Linked DNA regions of Elephas maximus indicus. The protein of the gene in region 2 interacts with the protein of the main gene of each other region in a biochemical or structural test. Links are inferred from orthologs where the notes say so. Each region holds a gene or a part of one and is shown on either strand. Other genes may lie near its edges.

Region 1 (10,657 bases), on a different chromosome or scaffold from region 2:
GAGCCCTGGGGAGAGCCCTGGGAAGTCATACCTGCTCATGGTGTCATCCTCATCTGAGTCCCCCAGGCTGGTGCTCTCCAGCTCACTGGTCATCAGGGTGGAAGAACTCTCATACCCTGCTAGGTGGCGCTCCAGCCTCGAGGGGCCACTGGGCCTGTGGCCCCCACCTTAGTATGAACAGAAACCTCAGGAATCATGCCTCATGCTCCTTACACCCATCAAGGCCAGGGTCTGGCCCCACCACTGCCCAGCTCCTGCTCTGCCCAGCCTCCAGAGCCTGGCCCCCTCACCGCCGTGCTCACTGCTGTCTCTCCTACGAGGCCGCTCCCGCCTCAGAGACACGACTGACTCTGTTTCTGTCTCTGGCTCCAGGTTTTCACGGCTGCTGGAGACGTTAGGGCTGGATGGGCAGAGATGGTTTCCACCCCCATCAGTGGGGCAGGACTCCAAATCCTCCATTCCCCTCCTCGGGGGCTAGCATCCCCACCTCATCTCCTCCCCTGGACTCAAGAATGCCAGGAACTCACTGGAAAGATGGAGGCCTGGAGTCCCCAATGCCACTGGTCCTCTCTGGTGGCAAAGGGGGTAGTGGTGGAGGTGGAGGCACCAGGTCTGTGCGAGGCTCATGGGCTGGGGGAGCCATCTCGGGTTGGGGGTTATCTGATGACACTAGCTAGAAAGATGCAAACAATACGAAATGGATCTATTCAGAGGTGGGGCATACGTGATGGAAGAGAAAGGATTAGAAAAGGGGACAAGGTCTGAGAGAGCCTGGAGAAGAGCCCAAAAAAGCAGCAGCTAACAGGAGGGGCTCCAGAAGTGGGCTGAGGGGCCCCAGCCAGCTCTCCAAAAGAGTAGGAAGGCAAAGCCAGGGCTTCCACAACCAGGCAGGGGCAGCCCTGCAGAAACAGAGTGAGGCTTGGTGGAGCTCGGCAATGCAGAAGGCACTGGGCCCTCAGAACCAGGGTCCCTTACCCAGGACACCACCCTTCCGTTGAAGCAAGGAAGGCGAGCATTGTCGTCGGAAATTTCTTCCTTCACCACTCTGCCGAGAGACCAGATAAAGGTCAGTGAGGCTGGACTAGCTCTCTCACTCCCTCCCCATTTCAAAATTTCTGCCATTGCTCTATCTTCCTCCAGCTCAAGCGAGCTGGCTTTCCTCTCTTGTCCAGGCCCTCTTCTCTTACACTGAAACAGCTCCCTCCTACCCGAAAACTCTCCAAATTCAATTCCCTTCTCTAATCTTTCTTTCTCTTCCCAGCTCATCCTCAAGGGCTCAGTGCTGCTCCAAAGACTTCCCTCAGTCTGATTTAAACCTTTCCACCCAAATGTAAAGGCCATCTTCTATGGTTACCCCCCAAACCAAACCCATTCCCACTGAGTCAATTCTGACCCAAAGAGACCCTGTGGGGCAGAGTGGAACTGCCCCACAAGGTTTCCAAGGCTGTAACCTTTACAGAAGCAGGCTGCCACATCTTTCTCCCGCAAAGCAGCTGGTGGATTTGAATGGCCAATCTTTCAGCAAGCAACCAAGTGCTTAACCACTGTGCCACCAAGGCTCCGTCATGGTTACCGCAGCAGCTGAAAATATCTTTCTAACCTAAGGAGCCTTGCTGGTAGATCCCCCAGCCTCCATCTCTGCTCTTCGTACACCTTCTTCCCAAAATGGCTTTGGTCCTCACCTACATCTCCTTCACTCATGCTTTCCTTCAGTTTTCTCTAGCTCACTTCCAGAGATCTAGCCAAACATGCTGTCTTTGCCTAGATGAAAATGCCCGTTAAACCAAAGACTAGTTACCTCCTCATTAGGCTGAAAGCCTCAAGGAGGAGGGAACCCATCTTCTGATTCTCCTGTGCTTCACCTAACACAAAACTCTGCCCTAAGCAATCTACTCAAGACGGAAAGGTCATCCTGACAAATCCCGAAGTCCAGCCTGGTGAGTTAGTTCTCCCTTGGGTTCCTTAAGGCGAATTAGGCTTAACCTTCTTCTCAACCCCCACATCAAATCATTAATGTCTATTCCGTTCAACACCATGTTCTGACCACACAGCACTGTACACAACATTTATTACGTACTAGCAGATATTTGGCTAAATGAATATATGAACCATGAGACTGTCTACTTTGGTTCCTCTTGGTTCCTCCTCTCTCAGGCACATGCCCTCGCACCAAAATTAGAGTATCCTGTCTTCACCTAATATGGTTTTGTGAGCCTGAATATATGCCAACTCAAGCCATTTGCTATCAGAATGTGACCTGGTCCATGTCAAAACAGCTCGGTCACTACCAATCTGTCTCAGAATAATGTCGCTTCCTTCCCAACTTAACCCAGTCTCAACATAACCGAGCCTACTCCAAAATGAGTTATTCCATAACCTAGTTTACGGACTAGTCAGCCTCAGTTCTAATAATAACTACCACTCGGTGAATATCCTGGGCTGTACACCTTTGCTAAACGTTTTACTCCATCTCACAGGTGAGGAAATCAAGGCACAAAAGTTCAATAAATTGCCCAAAATTACACTGCTGACAAACTGAAGAACCTTGATTGAAACTCAGGATAACTCCCAAGACAGGACCACTCTCCCAAAGCTAACCACTCACTCTAGGTAGCACCCAGGCTATCCCAGCCTAATCCAACCTGCCTTCGGAAAAGCTGAGGCTGAGAAAGTAGATGGCTCAGTCCCAAAAGCTCTACACACAAAAGGATTTACTTCGCATTATTTATAGTCCCAATCTAGCCCAGAATAATCCAAAATGTTCCAAATCACTCCAGGTTAGCTCTAGCACAGCCTAGAACATGCCCACACATAGCTGTCTGCAGCAATATAGACTAGAAATTCTCAATAAAGCTCCCTGTATTAGTACAGACCCCCAACAACCCTGTCTGCTCCAGTACTCTGACCCAGTAAAACCACGTCTGCCCCAATAGAAACTAGAACAACCAATACAACCACGTCTGCCCCACTAGAAATGGGAATGGTCTAAGTGTCTCCAGGAAACCCTGGTGGCGTAGTGGTTAAGTGCTACGGCTGTGAACCAAAAGGTTGGCAGTTCAAATCCACCAGGTGCTCCTTGGAAACTCTATGGGGCAGTTCTAATCTGTCCTTTAGGGTCGCCATGAGTCAGAATCGACTAGACGGCACTGGGTTTGGTTTTTGTTTTAAGTGTCTCCAGAATAGCCTACTCCACTTCAGGACAGCCTAAAAGATCCCAGTACAGTACTGTCTGTATCACTATACACAAAAACATCCAATATCTGGACAACATCATGCTTTACAACGCAGAGAGTCAGCGAAAAAGAAGATCCTCGATGAGACAGACAGACACAGTGGCTGCCAACACCTGGCTCAAACATACTACTGTGAGGATAGCACAGAGCCCACTAACAACTCGTTCTGTTATACACGATGTCATTATGAGTCAGAACCAACTTGACAGCACCTAATCACAACAGAATGTCCAAAACAACCCTGTGTGCCCTAATACACACCAGAATCCCCAAAATTGCCCCAAGGCCGGCCAATCTACATCAGGAGATAAAAGAATATCCCTAAATAGCCTGGGTGCTACAGAACTGCTCAGAATATACTGAACTACCAGAGGACAGACCCACTTGGCTCAGTACAGTCCAGAATACCCCCAAATAAACCAGTTCGCCCTAATATATTTCAGTACAGTCTAATCTTCTGTAATCTAGTTTAGGATAGCCCAGTCTGTCCTACAGCTCCGTGTGCCTCAACCTTGTCAAGCACAATCTCGTTGGTCCCGGGATAGTCAATCTACCCCCAGCTTAGTACAATCGACTCCACTATCGACCAGAAAAATCCCAATATGCCCCAGAATAGACCTGGGCCCTTCAATATCGCCTAATCCACTCCAGCACAGCCCCCATCAGTCTAGGCCTCGCGCTCACCCGAAATCCTGATCCATGGACTTGAAAAAGTACTTGGCTCCCGCGGGCCGCTGCAGGACGCTCTTGAAATCGCCGAGGGTGATGCGCTCAGCGGGGACGGGGATCTTCACTAGATAGGGAGTCTCTTCCTCATCCAAGTGGTAAATCACCTTCGTCTCCCCGACACCACCGCCCCCCGCGCCGCTGCCCGCCATGGTCTCGCCCGCGCGCTCCTGTGCTCCGCCGCCCACCCAAAGGGGCTAAGCACCCCCGCCGCGCCTGCGCACAGCCGCACACTGACGCGCGGGCAGGCACAGAACCGGACCAGTCCCCCAGACGTGCCCAAGGGATGGAGACGGTCGGGGTCAGACAAGCGGACAGCCGGGGCGGGGGCGGGCCGTGGGGGCGCGACCTAAAGACGCGGACTCCGCCGCCGCCGCGCGCCACTGCCGCCGACGTCGCGGGCGCCCCCCAGTGCCCCGCCCACCTCTGCTCACGTCACGTGGCCTAACTCGGCCCGCCACGCTCCCCCCGCACCGTCCCTGGATCACGTGACACTTCCCAGTCACGTGACTGCGTAGCTCCGCCTCGCGCCCCTGCCACGTGATCGCTGCCCTCAGCAACGGTCTCCCAACCCTCAACTGCCCCGCCCCCGAAAGTGTCCCCACCCTCGTCCTCTGAGCACCCTGGCTGAATTGGGCCTCTGCCCTCAGGCAGCAGGCTGCCAGTCCCACCACACCTGGGAGCGCGAGGCAACTCTGATCCACTGGAGTGTGCGTGTGGGGGTCCTAAGCAGGGAGTGGGATGGGGCAATGCCAACTGAGGCCTGAGCATCCTGGGTGGGAAAGGCCCAGGAGCAGGGGCGGTTCTAGCTGGGACTCTGAGGCGTTCTCCCATCTTTCCCAAAACCTCCCTCCGATGCAGGACAGTAAGGGCTATGAACACAAAAGAGCCCACTCCGCTTTATTTACAACACACGGGCCATCTGTACAAACAGCTAGCCGATATTATTAAAAACAAGAGATGAAAGAAATGTCACCTTTCTGCTTTCCTTCCCCTCTCGGCCAGACTTTGGTACTCCACCTTTGAGCTGCCATGCCCAAAAGGGGAAGTCCAAAATTAAAAATACAACCGGTGTATAAGAAAATAAATGAGGAGTGAGATAGGAGAAAAAACGATGAGGGAAGGGGGTGCTAATATTTACACTAGAGTTTTATAGACAGCTGCCCCATTCCTTCCCAATTCCAACCCTGACCCAAAAAGTGAAGGATGGCAGGTCCAATGGGCAGGGATTGTGTGTCTAGGGACCCAGACAACCTCTCGCCCTCAACTGCAGTGGGTCCACGTTCAAGTCCAGATGTTGGAGGGGGAGGAGGAAGGGGAGGATGGGAACATGAGACCCTCATTTCCAGAGCAAGTCTCCCTTGGGAGTTCCTGCCTTGAAGTGGGACAATGTCCAAGCTTCAGGGGATGGGCTGAGGACCCCAAGGCTCAGTTCCCAAGTCATGTTGTCAATTAGAAGTTCCAGCCTGGCACTGGTGATGTCAAGGCTCTCCAGATTTCGGAGGGCCCCCTAACCGCCGCGCCTCTGGCCGAAGTTCCTTGCATTTTTGGCAGTAAAAGAAGTCAGGGACATTGGTCTTCTTAATCTTAGCACAGGAGAGGTGGATCCACGTCCCACACAGGCTGCACTCAATCATGGGCCGTCCTGCAAAGGGCTTTCGGCAGTAACACGTGATCAGATCCCACGAGTCATCACCTGGGGAAAAGGAAGTTTGATATTCTGCTTGAGTTTTTAAGTCCACAACACCCCCAACTCCATTCTCCCAGCTACCCTTGAACAGCTCTCAACCCCCTTACCTGATTCTACCATGATGTCCTCATCCATGACCCGCATCTCGCCTTCACTAGAGCTGGCATCTCCATCTTGGCTTGTTTCAGTGCTGCCCACCTCCTTGCTTTCACTGTCAGTGGGAGGAGCTCCTTCAGGGGGCCCTGTAGCAGGGGGCCTAGGAGCCTCAGGGGGTGTTGGGAACACAGGGGCTGGGGCTTCAGCCCCTACCACTGCTGCCATTTCCTCTTCCTCTTCTTCTTCCTCTTCCTCCTCCTCCTCTTCAGAGTCTGTATCACTGGGGGGTGCCCGGGGAGGCCCAGGAGGTGGGAGTCTATCCCCTCGCTCTGCCTTTTTCAACTTCCGTTTCTTGCTCTTCTTGATTCGAGACCTCTTTTCCCCATCGCCAGGGGTTGGCCGAGGTCTCCGAAGAACCCCAAAGCCAGCCCCACCTCCTGGCCCCAACTTTCGGTTCTTTCGGTCCTTCTTTCGAGGAGGCTGGGTGAGATCCCCCTGAGAAAGGGGCACTGGGGTGAGAGGAACAGGGGGCCGGGATGCATGTGTCAGGGATGTGGGGGACAGGGGAGATGCCACTTTGGGGCCATCTAGATCAAAGAGAGAGTCCTTGAGCTTCATCTTCTCAAGCAGGGTGGCACTGTCAGGGGCCTGAAGGCGAGAGAAAGTGGACCTTGGAGGTCCTGGCTGGGTGGAACCCGACTGGGCTGCCCTTCTCTTTGATGACTTTGCTTTCTTAACAAAGGTCTGGATGGTTCGGAGATCTGAGGGGGCTGAGTCCCAGCCATCACTGTCTGCTGCACTCTCACCTCGCAATGGGGAGCTGGAGCCGGAGGCTGGCCAGTCACTTTCCTTAACAGGGAAAAGAGACCAGAGTCAGCAGGGGGCCCAGTGGCGTTTAAGCCCCTCCAGAAACCCAACCTGAAAACCAGGGACTAGATCTCCCCCAAAATATCCTGCCCCAACCAACAAAGCTCACTCAGAAAATTTATCCAGACCCCAATTTCTATCAGCATCTGTTCTTGAGCACTTCCATGTTACCTCTGTTTTCAAATTCTAACTATCTGCTCCTTACCAGGGCCTTTGAAATACTGTATTCCCACAAATCAGAGGCACATTTCTTAATCTACTTTTGTACTGCCTCCTTTGTTACCATTTTCACCTCCCTAAAACTCATCCGGAAACACCTTCCATTAACAGTACCCCCAAAACCATTTCAAAATCTTGACTAACAACCCAAGAGCCCCTTCCATCACTGTTACCCAAGCCACCTATCTCTATTATCCTCCCCCGCAAATACTCGTTTTCCCAACAGAACCCTCACGTTTCCAATTTCTCTAGTCTTACATATATAACTAACACAACCTCATTTACTCAACAGCCCTTCCAAGAATCCAAAGACACCATCCTCAAACCAGTTATTCTCCTGACCCTACCTCTTTGCTAGGAGGTATGTAACCAGCATAGGCCAAAACAAAACTGCAAAATTTGTTGAAATCTTCAATTGTTCTCCGCCGTTTCTCTGGTGGCTGAAAAGAAGAAAACAAGGATCACACTGAGGGCACAGACTGGAGTTTTAAGAGAAGCATCCCCAAAGGCGGAATCCCTAAAGTGGGAAAGCTAGAAGAGATGCATGGGGGGTGGGGGAGAGCATAAATACTGATGTGTAAAGGTAGGGGAAAACTCACCTGAGTCTCTGGCTTAAGGGTCGGAGGTGGATCTGTGAAAGCAATAAAAGCTGAGTCAAAGCCCTGGAACAGTCCATTTAAAATCCCCACCTCTAAACCTTAGAGGTCCCAAGTGAACCCCCTGTTCTCCCAGGTCCCCCAGCCAGTCGGCAGGCCCCCAGCTGTGCCCGATCGTCCCTGCTCCCCTCCCGTCCCACAAGGGGCGGAGCCTGGGCCCGGGGCCCTCCCAAGCCTCGTTATAGCGCTCCTCTTCCCCCTACCGGAGGCCGGGAGCCCCGCCTCCCCCCCCCAAACTCACGGTTTCTGTAGACTCCAGTCTACTCGGATCTCTTAACGCCCCACCCCACCGTACAGCTCCTAGGGCAGAACCCGGGCGCCGCCCGCCCCGTCCTTCACAAGGCGACCGTGCCGAGTTCCTACTCAGGCGCACTCTACTGCCCCGAGCCCTCTGGAACCTCACGCCATCCGCCGGCCCCCCGAGTCCGGGATGACCACGCTGAACCGCTCCCCGCCCTCCGGCCCCTTCTACTCGAGCACGAGGCCCGGCGCGCCCCTCACCCTCCACCCCAAACCCACACGCACGCACATTCAACGCTACTTTGTGTCCGGGACGGACCAGCGAGCTCTAACCCGGACGCGGCCCCACCTGCCCCCCCCATACCGCGCTCCCCACAATTTCGCCCTCCCTCCGCCCCCATCCGGGGCTTTGGCCCCTCCCCGTCTCGAGCTTCTTGGGTTCCCCGCCGGGCCCCCGGGCCCTGTTCCGAGCTCTCTCCGGCCGCCTTCCCTCCGCCCCCGTACTCACCAAGTCACTAGGCTACGGACCCCTAAACTCTAGCTTCCCCCCACAATCAGCGACTCTCTTCCTCCACAGAAACCACCACGACCGCCCCCCATCACCCTCCGCAACTCCCAGGCTCTAACCCTCGCCAGTTCCCCCTCCCGCGACTCGCCGGTCTTCACCCCCCTCCGATCCCACCGCCCTCTGCAACTACCTAGCTCTCCTCGCTTCCCGGCCCTCTCTCCACAACTACCCCCGTTACAGGTCCCCTTTCCGCAGACAATACCAGGCCCCCCTTTCCCCCCACAACTACCTGCCCAACCCTCCAGCAATCACCCGGCTGTCTCTGGCGGCAACTACCGGGAGCTCGGGAACCACCACCACCAACTCCCCCACCTCGGCGAACTACCGCGCCCCTCGCTCAGCCCTCTTCCACGTCCTCCCTGCCCAACAACTCTCGGCTCCCAGATTCCCCCAACCTTCCAGCTCCAAGGCCCCAACCTGCCTGCGGCCCTTTCGGCTCCTAACCCCCGAGGCTCCGGGTTTTCAGTTCCCACCCCCCACCTCCCCCCCACACACAGCGTCGGATCTCCAACTATCCCCAATCCGGTCTCCCACTCCTCTTCCTCCAGCATCTCTCAACTCGTCGCTCTTCACCCCCAGGGCCAGGACCCCGACCCCCACCCCGCGCTCCCCCGCTGGGTTCTGGGGCTCGACCTCCAAGTTTGCCAATTGATTCCTGGCCCGCCCCCCACCAGCTCAGCGATCTGTGCCGGTCGAGAGCTCACCTTCGGGACTGGGCTCCGCCATGGCTTCCAGCATCGCCCCCTCCCCTCCTCCCGGTCCGGCGCCCCCCTCCCCTGAGCCGGGGATCCCGGTGCCGCCTCCGGTGCTCGGTGCTCCTAATGACTTGCTCCACGGAGGTGTCTGCCTCAGTCCGGTTGTGACTCGTGTCCGCTAGCCGTTGCCGCTGCCGCCGCCTCCCTCAACCACAGCCTCCCGCACTCCCGGACCGGGCCCCCTCCCCCCGCGCCGCCGGCCGCCTGCTCTCTCCTCCTCCTCCTCCCTCCCTCCCTCCCTTTCTCTTCACCCTCCCTCCGCCGGCGCCGACGCGCAATGCACAAAGGGACTTGTGGTCTGTCCTAACACAGCGGAAAGGGGACTGCATAAGCCTCAAGGACTGCAGTTCCCAGCAAGCCACGGATTGGCGCATGCTCACTAAGCGCCTCCTCTCCTCCGTCCCCGGGAGTGGCGGGGAGATTGGGAGCTAGAGGGTAGAGCGGAAAAGCACGCGCAGGGCCCTGGGAAATGTAGGCGGGGAGGGACCAAAAAAAGATAAGGAAGAAGGGATTAGAATTCTCGGACACCATACTGCCTCATTCCGCTTCGTCTTTTTCCCCCGAGAGACCGCCCCATTTCCGGCCAGGCGGAGAAGAGGTTGCCGGGAGACGAAGTTCTCCTGAGGATAATGGCTCCCTCCTCCCGCTGAGCGCCCACCCTCTGCTTCCACTCCACAGGATCACACACACCTGCACAAAATCTGGCCAGGTGACATGCAACTGAGGATAGAGTTCTTTTAATAGCTCCCACAAACGAAAATCTTCTCCATAATCCAGATGTTTATAACAAACTTGGATGGGGTTATCTAAAGCAAGTGCTTTCAAACTTTCTTCACAGGAACCCACGGTAAAGGAAAAAATATATATATTTTTTACATCAGGACCCAATACACACGTATATAAAACTGAAGTTTCATGAAATGATGGAGTATTCCTTCCATCAGATAGCATAACCAAAGCACATTTTTATGCAGCTGAAGTGCAACACCAACAGAATAAACCCAATACATTCCTATTCCTCCAGCCTGTCCCCATTCCTCCTCTTTCCCCACCACTGAAGCCCATGATGCCTGTAGAAAGCTAAAAAACAAAGCGAGGGAGGGGGCAACACAAGGCAGCAATCCATTCAGCTTGGTGGTTTCCTCTTTATTGATATGCCTCCTACCTTTCCCCCCACAATTTCAGTCCCTTTCATCTACCCCCAAAATAGAAGGCAGTGAAAGGGAGTGTTGGGGCTCTGAGCCCTTTGGGTGGTTAGAAAGGGAACAGAAACCAAAACAATCCCTGGATGTGAAATTGACAACCAAGAAAACCGAAGCAGAATGGGAAAGGGAGCAGAGAAAGGTGAAGAGGAAAAGAGAAAGGAGAGGTACTAGGGGCCATCTCCACTATTACTCCTCCTGCTAGGAGGGGTTGGAGAAAGCCTCAAGTGGTGTTGGAGCCTGAAGAAAGAGGAGTAGGTCAAGAAAGGGGGGCCACCTTTGTCTTTGTAGAATGGGACCCCCCCCCCACCTCAGGGGCAGCAGCTTCACAGACCGTAGACACTTTCATCACTGTAGGCAATGTATAGAAAGAAGTCTTCTTCGTGGTGTTCCTGGGTGAAAGTA
Region 2 (10,689 bases):
ACCCATTTCCTTGATATGGTTCATGAGTTCTGTGAGACACTGCAACAAATTATGGAACCTAAAGATGGGTGGGAGAGTACTGGGAGGTGAGGGATAGTTGATGTTAGAGATGATGGAGTAGAACAGAATTTGGAAAAGTTGGATATTTGGGACCTCTTTAATCTCTGCCTCATCGGAACAAGCTTTGTGCCGATCCTTATAAAAGAAATTATTCATTTAGTAGACTTTGATAAAAGGTAAGTAAACTGCATCAATAAAAGCAGTAGAATTAAAATGGACAGATTTTCAAAGAGAAATTAGTATCTGCATTTCACCTATGTACTTATCTAGACGAGAAATCGACTTTTGCTTTCCCTTGTTAGAACGATAAATGTCAAAATTACCTACCAACAACCACTACAACGAGGTTACCATTTTAACACAAAGGAGAAAAAATTACAAATTCAGCTCTACACAGTACAACTGTCTAACACAGATTCAAACAGGTAAATTTAAATTTCTTTACATATAACCCTCAATTAAGTTTCCCTTGTAAATGATGAGTCAGTAGTTTAGTGGAAAAAGAACACCAAGCTAGGAATAAAAATACTTGGGTTTTCGTTCTAGTTCTGCCACTTACTAACCACGTACCTTGGAGATTTAATTTTTTAACTTGTTTGAGCCTTAGTGTGCTCATCTAAAAAGCAACTGACCTACCTACTGCTTAGTTATCATGAGAATCAAATGATAAAATATATACAACATTGTAAAAAAAATGCAAAATGCTATACTAAGGTACAATATTTTTCTTAACGCCAGCAAAAAAGTAAAATTCATCCATATATGTGCTTTTTCTTGGACATTTTTCCTCCATTAAGTATTAGTAACTACTTCCTTGGATACTACCACAAAGAGGAATTTACTGGTTTTTCTGCTGCTTGTTACAAATATGTCATATTTTTATAGAAAGAGTAAAAAAGACAACAATCTTTCTATTAATTAAGGAATCAAAGTTTCTAGGGCTACAGAAGACATCGAATAATAATTTGGTCTGGTTCCCTACTAAAATCAGTAACCAGCAGCCATACAGTAGATTCTGACTCATGGTGACCCTATGTGCTTCATAGTAGAACTGTGCTCCATAGGGTTTTCATGGCTGTGACCTTTTGGAAGCAGATCACCAAGCCTTCCAAGGTGCCTCTGGAGAGGTTTGAACCTCCAACCCTTCGGTTAGTAGCCATGCACTTAACTGCTGTGTCACCTAGGGACTCCTTGGTTCCCTACTACCAGGGAGAAAATGTTATAGGTGCATAAAAATCAACTGTTTACTAATCAAATTATGCTTTAACCATGCTAGGAAGACTTAGCTACTTAATCCTGTGGGAGTGGGAAGGGTGTGGGGGCGGGAGGGCATTTAATAAGGGTACAGATGCTCTTACCGAAAACCTAAGATCCAAGAATCACAAAAATGTTAAAAACTAGAAGAAACCTCCCAGATTCAACCATATCCAACCGATGGTCAATCAGTCGCATTCTCTTCATACAAGAAAGAAAATCATCATTGTCAAGTGACTCGTGATGCCACTTTGCCCACTTGGTAATTGAAATACTTAAGGTAGATCATTTAGCTTCTTGGGCTAGTTTGTTCTGTAATATAAAAGAAGTAAGTGAGTCAAAATTCTATGTAAACTGTAAACCCCATCACAAGTGTGAGGAGATAAGTCTCTAAGCAATCCTCTCTGCTGTAGAGGTTCTTGCCAGGATGGGGGAAGCTGAGTTCTACCATTGTAAAAAGATTCCAGGTTAATTCTGAGAGCTGACCTCCACCCAAACCTGTCCAATGGGTTCCATGGATGAGCTTCACTAGGTTCACGGACTCCTCTGAAATTATATCCACAAAGTGCAGGTACAAATAGGGATATTCCAGTCCAGCAGATTTCTTTAGTTTCACAAAAGGTCAGTTATTCCAAAAAGGTCAGTAAACTACTGACATAAAATAACAAACATATGCTGCTTAAAAAAAGGTAAAAGCTTACATGGATATGCTCAAAATGATACCACCACTCTCCCAACTAACCTGGGTCAGAATCTTAGTTTAACATTTTACTTTCTTCATTTTTTTTCTCATCATCAAGTTCTGTCTGTTCTACACCCTTCCTCCTTTCCATTCCCATTACTGGCAAAGTGCAAAACTTTTGCTAGCTATGACCACAGCAATCGAGAGGTCTTTCTACCTCCAGGCTCTCCCTAGTCCAATTCACACTGCGGCCAGATTAGTACCACTAAAACAGAGCTTTAATCATTTCACACCCAACTTAAACATCACCTGTGAAACCTTAACCACCTACTAAATTCAAGGTCACATTAAAAACAACCCATAAGCTAGCCCAAATTTTTACTTCAAGCTTTATCACCCTCTATTCCTGTACAAAAGGTCCCTGGCTAGCATAAATGGCTAAGCATTTGACTACTAGCCAAAAGGTTGGCGGTCATGCAGTAGATGCTTAATAATTGTGCAAGAAAGTAAAAGAAATTCCAGCCAGCATGGGGTAAAGAGCAAAGATTATGATCTCTTTGAAGGTAAAAACCTTATCTGTGACATCCTCTATCATGCCAGAGGAGCCCTGGTGGTATGGTGGTTAAGTACTCATCTGCTAAGCAAAAGCTCTGCGGTTTGAACCCACCAAGCCACTGTGTGGGACAAAGACGTGCCAGTCGGCTTCCCTAAAGATTTACAGCCTTGGACACCTACTCTGCCCTCCAGGGTCACTATGAGTCGGAATTTATAGGATGGCAATGGGTTTGCTTTTGGTTATCATGCTAGGCTTCCAAAAAATGTAACTAGCTACTGCTTTTCAAAACTGTGGGGTCATAGGTCTTATAGGCAGTTATGCATTTTAAGGGAAGAACTATCTGAAAATGTTAATAAACTACGTCCCAAAGAATTTTGTGTAGCTCTCAACACTTAGCTATTAAGTTTTTAGTTTAAAAAATATTAACTATTTATAAAAAAATGAGCATTTCCAGTCACTGCTAGGTTACTACTTTATGGCTAAAGACAAATCACATGAATGAATTCTTTTTTAAAAGGTGCAATACATGGTGCACCTTGCTTGTATAATACACGTAGGGCCTTAGTGAGTGGTAAAGTGGGTTTATACATAAGTGAACTCTTGCAGACAACTGTAAACCAGGTATTCAAGGCAAAAACACAAAAGGAATAAAAAAAGATAACTTTGGACATTTTCTTGTCCACAACTATTACCAACAGCATTTTCAAGCAGACACTCAAATCTTTTTGCACACTGACCTACACAAAAAAGGTTAGACTTCTCAAAGAGAAGCAGAAACCCAATCAAGCCATTGGAAAAATATTCTATCCAGAAGTAAAAACTGCAAAATAATACTTATTTTCTTTGACAATGAAGGCGTCATATTATTACTGGAGCAAAGGAAGCTCAACTCCAAATCGATGGAGTAAAGAAAGCACTGTTCACACACTGCTAATTTAAAGGTTGTAAAAGCAATGGGCAAACTACAAAATAAAAAGATAAGAATGAAAGGAGAGGGTCCAAATCACAGATAAGGACTGTAAAAACTGCAAGGTCACTGGGACCTGCCAGGTCACAAAGGTGGAGGTGGGGGTTGTGTTGGGGGGAGGTGCAGAGCCAGTGAAGAACCGGAGTCTTAAGAACATGTCAGAAAAAGACGTTCTAAGGTTGGAGTCCTGGTTTTGAAACGGCTGAATTGCGGTGAAAGTCAGCGCACGGGCAAAAGTCCACATATTTGTGTTCAGAGGGGAGGTGTTAAGGAAAGGAAGAGAAGGTAGAAAGAAGGTGAAGTGGAGCCTGAGAACTGCGGCTGCAGGGTCACGGAAACACCTCGCTCCGCTCCAATATCAGCCAGCACAGGCCTCTGCCTCTGCCCCTACAACTCGGGGCAAGACCCGTGACCCCACCCCAGCAAACTCCCGGTCCCCGGGCTGGAGAAGGCGGCCAGGACGGCGCGGACCGGCACCCGACCGCCTTTCGAGATTCCCGCCCGGGCACTGGCCGCTCCGGGCTCCGGGACCGCAGCTAAGGCTCGGGGCCCGCAGCCGCGCCGCCCGCCCCCCGCCTCGCGGCGTCCTTACCCGGCGCGAAGCCGTCGGCTCCCGGCGGCCACGGCAGCGGCGCCTCCTCCTGCGGCGGGCGCCCTCACCCCTCCGCGCCCAAGATCGCCATCTCGCAGTAGACGCGGCGGCGACAGCCACCCAGGCGTCGGCCCTGGCAGCCCAGGCCGCCTGCAGCCTCTCGGAACCCGCACGCCGCTCTCGCCGACACCCGACCCTCCCCCCACCCCACCCCGGCCACGCGCCACCCCCAGGCGACCCCACACCTCCCTCCTCGGGAGCGCGCCGCGTGCCCGCGTCACCGGCGCCGCGCTCCGAGCGCGCGCCTCCCCGCCGGCCCCGGCACCGCGCGCTGCGCCGCGGCCACCCAAAGCCTCCAACTCCGGACCCGGAATCCGGCTTCTCGCGAGCATGCGCAGCGAGGGCGCCCCGATGATGCCTTTAGAAAACTCCGCTCCTCCGGGTCTTCGGAGCGGTCTAGTGGGAGGGCCTGCCAGAGGGAGAAGGGGGTGGGGCCTGAACCTGTGGAAGGGGCGGTGCCGTCGCCGAGATTTGGGAAGAGGTTTCCCCAAACTGGCGGCGGGTACTGCTGACTTGACTTTACTGTGCTTAGCATAACGGGGTGCGTGACCTCAAGTAAGTTCCTCGGGGGCACTGGTGTTCTTGTCTTGAATGCTTTACGGCAAAATAGGCTATTAATAAATACTCCTCGCTGAATGTTTGACACAAAACCCGTTTCAAGAGTAAATTGCTTTTAACAGATAAGTCATAGCAGAAGACCTCCAGTCCATTTTATTAGTTCTGTAATCAAAACATTACTCCCTCACCCCCACATCAGCCCAGCGTTAAAGCCAATACTTATGGAGCAAGTACGTGTGTTGGCACAATTAATCCACACAGCAATCCTATAAGGCAGACTCTGTTATCCAGCGGGGGGTGCAAATGGCCAATGCCAAAAGGTTAGTGGTTCCAGTCCACCCAGAGGCACCTCAGAAGAAACGCCTGGAGATATACTTCCAAAAAATCAGCCATCGAAAACCCTATGGAGTATAATTTCTACTCGGACACACATGTGGTTACCATGAGTCTGGGTCTACTCAACAGCAACTTTTTGTTGTCGTTATATGCACTATACAAACGAGTCAGCTGGTTTACAGGAGTGTTGTTGGCACTTGGAAGCAGATCCTCCAACCCCAGTCGAGCTTTCAGAAGAAAGTCACCCTTCAAATAGAAGTCAGTGGTGACCACATTTCTGATCAGATTACCTGGCCTTCTACTTCAGAAAGATAACAAAGGCCATCAGGCATGGAATTCTACAATTTTTGCCCAATCGCCTCACCCGACCTCCACAAATTACCTACATCCACACCCACGCTTACTTGTTTTCCTTCAGTCTCAGAGATTTGGGGCCCCTGCTCCTCTCCAAAGCCAACTTCTCCACTGGTCCCCTCCCTCCTGTGACCAGTCTTTAACCTCACCCTCTCTATTGGCTACAGCTCCTCAGTATAATCACGTTTCAGACTCCTCTGTCTTAAATTCTTTCTTGACCTTAAAACACCCTCCAGTTCTCTCCCTTCTTCCCTCATAACTAATCTTTTCAAAAGAGTTACATACAAACCCTGGTGGCATAGTGGTTAAGAGCTACGACTGCTAACCAAGAGGTCTGCAGTTTGAATCCACCAGGCACTCCTTGGAAACTCTTTGGAGTAGTTCTGTGTCCTATGGGTTTGTAATGAGTCAGAATTGACTCACGGCGATGGGTTTGATTTCTTTGGTTACGTACCAAGAACTGACACTCCATGAATATTTGTAGGATTCAATAAATATCTCTTCATGAAGGCATGCATGCACACTCCCCCTTGGTTGCATTAATTCCTGCCCTCTGACTTCTCACCGTATCCACAATGACCTCTCTAAGATAGACCTCTGAGCTTACCACTCCATTGCTTTAAATCTTCCATGGGCTTTTTCAGAACTTTTAAGGCAAAGATCAACATGACAGTCAAGAGTTCTTTATTGCCCACAAGCTCTGTTCCTCCTGTTCTGACAAACATTTTCCAGTTCCTGGAGTGTGCACACCCATCATCCCCCTGCTTTAACACATAATGTTTGGTCTGACCTTGTCCTCATCTTTTTCCTCTCCAGTCCCTTGAAACAGGTGCTTACAAGAACTCTCTTAGAAATTCCATAAAAATACCCAGTAGTGGTCTCCATCTTGAGAATGTATACAGGCCTCCTTCTGTTTGCCTGCTCCCTTGTGTCTCGCTTAAAGATTCCCCGATTACACACCGCTCCGTACAGCTCAGTTCCGTGTAGAAATATTAACCCTGGCCCCTATGTTGACACCCAATATTAAACCAGACTTTTATTAGCAAATGTTTGTGTGGCTTCAAATAACACTATTATAAATAAATATGTTTTTGTAAATCTTTATCCACATCCTTATTTACTGCCTTTGATAAAATTCCTAACAATAATCAAAAGGTATGAACAATTTTAGTCCTTTTGAAACATATTGGCAAGTTGCCTTCCAGAAATAGGCTAGGCTTAGGATCAAAACAGAGCTCTGCCACCCATGGCCACATTCTGACTTTATGGGCTGTAGGCACTTTTGCCTATGTGGGCCTCTTCCTCCATAAATTGTATTAAAAATTGTGTTTTACACAACATTGGTACAAAGACAAATATAGTGACATTATACATTAAACTGTTTTCTTCAACTTAAATGTTTATTTTTTTCCCTTCTGATTTTGAAAGAAAATAAAACATTTTTATGGGCCCCTAAAAGTATTACAGGCCCGAGGCACTGTGCCTATTGTGCCTAATGGATAAGATAACCCTGCTGCCACCTATAAATTATAAGACTTGCCCAAATTAATTAACCTGACTGGGCCTCAACTAAAAATTTGGTATAATGCTATCTACCATATGATGGCAAGAAGTTAATGAGTTGCTACATGTAAAATACTTAAGGCTGTGTAACATATAAGTGTAACACATAGTCAATAAATTATTATCGTTGTAATTGTTTTTATGAATTTCCCCACAGCACTGTATGAGAGAATATGCTTGTTCTTCTTCACTGCACTGAAGTCATCATGGCATTTTTTCTTATGAGCAAATATGGTATCTTATTGTTGGTCCATTGTCCATTTTCCTACTAGGTTATTCACAAAAGGATGCTTTGTATAATGAAGATATTGATCCTAGTTAAACCTATTAGTGTTTTCCATTTTTATTTTCTTCCTTTATTTTTTGCTTCACAAGTCCTTTTCCATTCTAAGGTCATATAATTTATCTGCATTTTTTTTTTCCCCTACTTGTTTGATAATTTTGCTTTTTCCCTTTACGTAGTTTAATCCTTTAGCATGATCTTTTATTTTCTCTAGATAGTTTTTCTCATAGTCTTCCTCAACGTGTTAGAGAATTCTTTTCTAGCTGTGGAAGTTCTAAAATATATCCACAAATTTGTCGATACTTTTCTCTTCGGAAAAAAAAACGGTTGCTGTTGAGTTGATTCCAACTCACAGTGACCCTATGGGACAGAGTAGAACTGGCCCATAGGGTTTCCAAGGAGTGGCTGGGCTGGTGGATTTGAACTGCTGACCTTTTGGTTAACAGCCATAGCTCTTAACCGCTATGCCACCAGGGCTCCTTCCCTTCAAAAAGTGGAGCCCAATTCCCAATGGATACAATATGGCAGAGGTGACTGTGTACCTTCTGAGACTAGGTCATAAAAAGGCATTTGACTTCTTACTCTCAGATCAGTCCCTCTGGGAGAAGGCAGCTGCCATGTTGTGAGAACATATCAAACAGCCCTGTGAAGAGGCCTATGTGGAAAGGAACTGAGACCTGCTGCCAACAACCGGCAAGGATCTGAGTCTCCTTGTGAGTGTGACATCTTGGAAGCAGATCCTCCAGCCCCAGTCAAGCCTTCAGATGACTGCAATCCCAGCTGACATCTTGACTGCAACTTCAAGAGATATCCTGTACCAGAACTACTCAGCTATGTAGCTCTCAAATTTCAGATGTGTAGAAACTGTGAGGTAAAAAATGTTTATTGTTTTAAGCCACTAAATTTGTTATGCGGCAATAAATAATAAATACACTAACCCAATGGCTCTCCACAGGAACAATTTTGCATTCCAGGGAACATTTGGCAGTGTCTTGAGACATACTGATTGTCATAGCCCGGGGTGGGGTTGCCAGTGGCATCTAGTGGGCAGAGGCTAGGGATGCTGCTAAGCATCCTACAATGCACCGGACACTCCCCTTCCACCTCTACCCTCCAGCAACAAAGTTTTATCCAGTATAAAATGGCGATAGTGCTGAGGTTGAGAAGCCCTGCACTAACCTAAGTGTCCGTTCCCCTCTCCTACCTTAAAAGTTTCCTCTTCTGCATGTGTTTGTGAAAGGGTAGGGGTATGCTTCATATCCATGGCTCATATTTTTTTTTTTTTTTTTTTTTTTACTGCCTTACATGGGATTTTTTAATATTGGCCTTATATGCTAAAAAAAATTCACTTATTAGTTCTAGTAATGTTTTGTCAATTTCTTAGAAGTTGCCATGTATACAATTGTGTCTCTGTTAATAAAGAGAGTTGTATTTCTTCAGTACTTAACAGATATAGTGAGAAAGGATATCCTTGTCTTGGTCTTGTCCTGTTTTATTAGCCGATAGAAATAAGATGGATACCACACCACCAGTTGCAAGGGAAACAAAGTGGAAATTTATTGCTTGCACAAACAAGGAGCAAGGTGAGGTCTGGCAGCCAAAAGACCACAGGCTCCCAGCCCCGGGGGAGCTTGGAGCTTTTATGCCCTCCAGTCCCTAGGGGGTGGGATTGGCACCCCAAATCCAACACCCCAGTCCCTCTCATGTCCATATTTGTCAATCCAGGGGCTGAGTCATTTAGCAAAGGAAAGGACATCTTGCTTTGCAAACAGGCTTGGTTGCAGCTGTGTGCAGGAGAACATCTTCCTCTCTGGCGAAGGTCAAGTCCAAGGTCAAGTTCGGGGCCATGGCTTTTCAGGTCCTGTGCATGTGCCAAGATCTTTGTTTGTGCATGTGTGGGATTTCGGTGCCAAATTCAAACCATGATTAGGGTCTGTGGGCCAGGTCGCAGTTAGAAACTGCAGGGAACCGTGAAGGAGCAGGGTAAGCCTCTGCAGGGGCTTCAATAAGGGAAAGCATTCAGTGTTTTATCATTAAGAATAGTATTATTTGTAAGTTTTTTGTTTTATACTCTTTATCAGGTTGACGAGGTTCTCTTCTTTTCCCGGTTTGCTGAGAGTTTTTCTCATGAATGAGTTTTAAATTTTTATCAAATACTTTTTTTTGTTTGTTATCTATTGAGATGATTGGTTGTTGTTATTGTTTTCATTTTTAAACTATTGGTATGATGAATTAACTTGATTTTCAAATGTTCAACCAACCTTACATTCCTATGCTAAATCACAGTTGGTCATGATGTGTTACCCTTTTTATTATTGCTGGGTTCTTTTTACTAATTTTAAAAAAGATTTTAAGGGACCTAGTTTTTTTTGTTTAAACTTATGAGAGATATTGTTCTGTAGGTTTCTTTTCTTATAATGTCTTCGTCTAGTTTTGTTATTAGGATAAGACTGGTCTCATAAAATGAGCTTGGAAGTGTTCCTTATCTATTTTCTGAAAGAATTTGTGTAAAATTGCTATTATTTATTTCTTAAACGTTTGAAAGTTTTCGCCAGCGAAGATATCTAGGCCTGGAGTTTTCTTTGTGGGAAAGTTTTAAATTATGACTTTAAATTCTTTATTAGATATAAGGTGATTTGAATTTTCTATTTCTTCTTGTGCCAGTTATGGTAATTTGTATCTGTCAAGATATTTGTCCATTTCCTCTAAGTCATCAAATTTTTTGGCCTGAAGTTGTTCATAATCTCTTTAATGCCTTTTAATATACTGTAATATCTGTAGGACTGTAGTGATGTCTCATCTTCCGTTCCTAACATTAGCATTTTTATAATACTAAAATATTAGTATTATATTTTTTACCCGATGAATCTAACTAGAGAGGTACATTGGTTTTATTGGTCTCTTCAAAGAAGATGCCATGGTTTCATTGTTTTTTGCGTGTGTTGTTTGTACATTTTCTATTTCATTTCAGCTTTTATGTTTATTATTTCCGTGTTTTTATTTATCTTAGGTTAATTTGCTCTTCTTTTTCTAGCTTCTTCCACTTAGGGTAGAAGTTTATATTATTCATTTAGGGCTTTTCTTCTTTTCTAACACAAACATTTAGAGTATAAATTTCGTTCTGAGCCCTGCATTAGCTGCAGTCTAAAAAAATTGATGCATTTTACAGTGAAACTTGTGAGAGCCAGAACTTGATGAGACTGCCTTGTTTTTCTGGGTTTTGCAAGTTTCTGCTTTTGACAGGATACATCTTACCACTTTTCTGCTGCTTGTTTTATTGAAAAGTATTTGAGTTTTCCTTTTCTCACAGGAAACCCTGGTGGCGTAGTGGTTTAGAGTTTGGCTGCTAACCAAAAGGTCAGCAGTTTGAACCCACCAGGCACTCTTTGGAAACCCTACGGGGCAGCTCTACTCTGTCCTATAG

What was found. The genes of interacting proteins can lie anywhere in the genome.
Region 1: the proteins of WWP1 (region 2) and DVL2 form a complex in vitro, tested with the Homo sapiens proteins (2 studies listed by BioGRID, with this or other methods). The link is inferred for Elephas maximus indicus from reciprocal best matches to the Homo sapiens genes WWP1 and DVL2.

What each region holds. Positions count from the first base shown.
Region 1 is NC_064837.1:13,617,023-13,627,679, reverse strand, and holds the start of DVL2 (segment polarity protein dishevelled homolog DVL-2), read right to left. Parts: upstream 4,369-10,657; 5' UTR 4,112-4,368; coding exon 3,918-4,111; intron 1,046-3,917; coding exon 976-1,045; intron 674-975; coding exon 528-673; intron 401-527; coding exon 291-400; intron 168-290; coding exon 32-167; intron 1-31. Other genes in the region: PHF23 (PHD finger protein 23), read right to left, coding at 5,441-5,655, 5,757-6,594, 7,179-7,271, 7,431-7,462, 9,000-9,033; GABARAP (gamma-aminobutyric acid receptor-associated protein), read right to left, coding at 10,579-10,644.
Region 2 is NC_064833.1:55,408,840-55,419,528, forward strand, and holds the start of WWP1 (NEDD4-like E3 ubiquitin-protein ligase WWP1), read right to left. Parts: upstream 4,315-10,689; 5' UTR 4,112-4,314; intron 4,106-4,111; exon of another isoform or gene 1,419-4,105; intron 1-1,418. UniProt on the Homo sapiens protein: E3 ubiquitin-protein ligase which accepts ubiquitin from an E2 ubiquitin-conjugating enzyme in the form of a thioester and then directly transfers the ubiquitin to targeted substrates.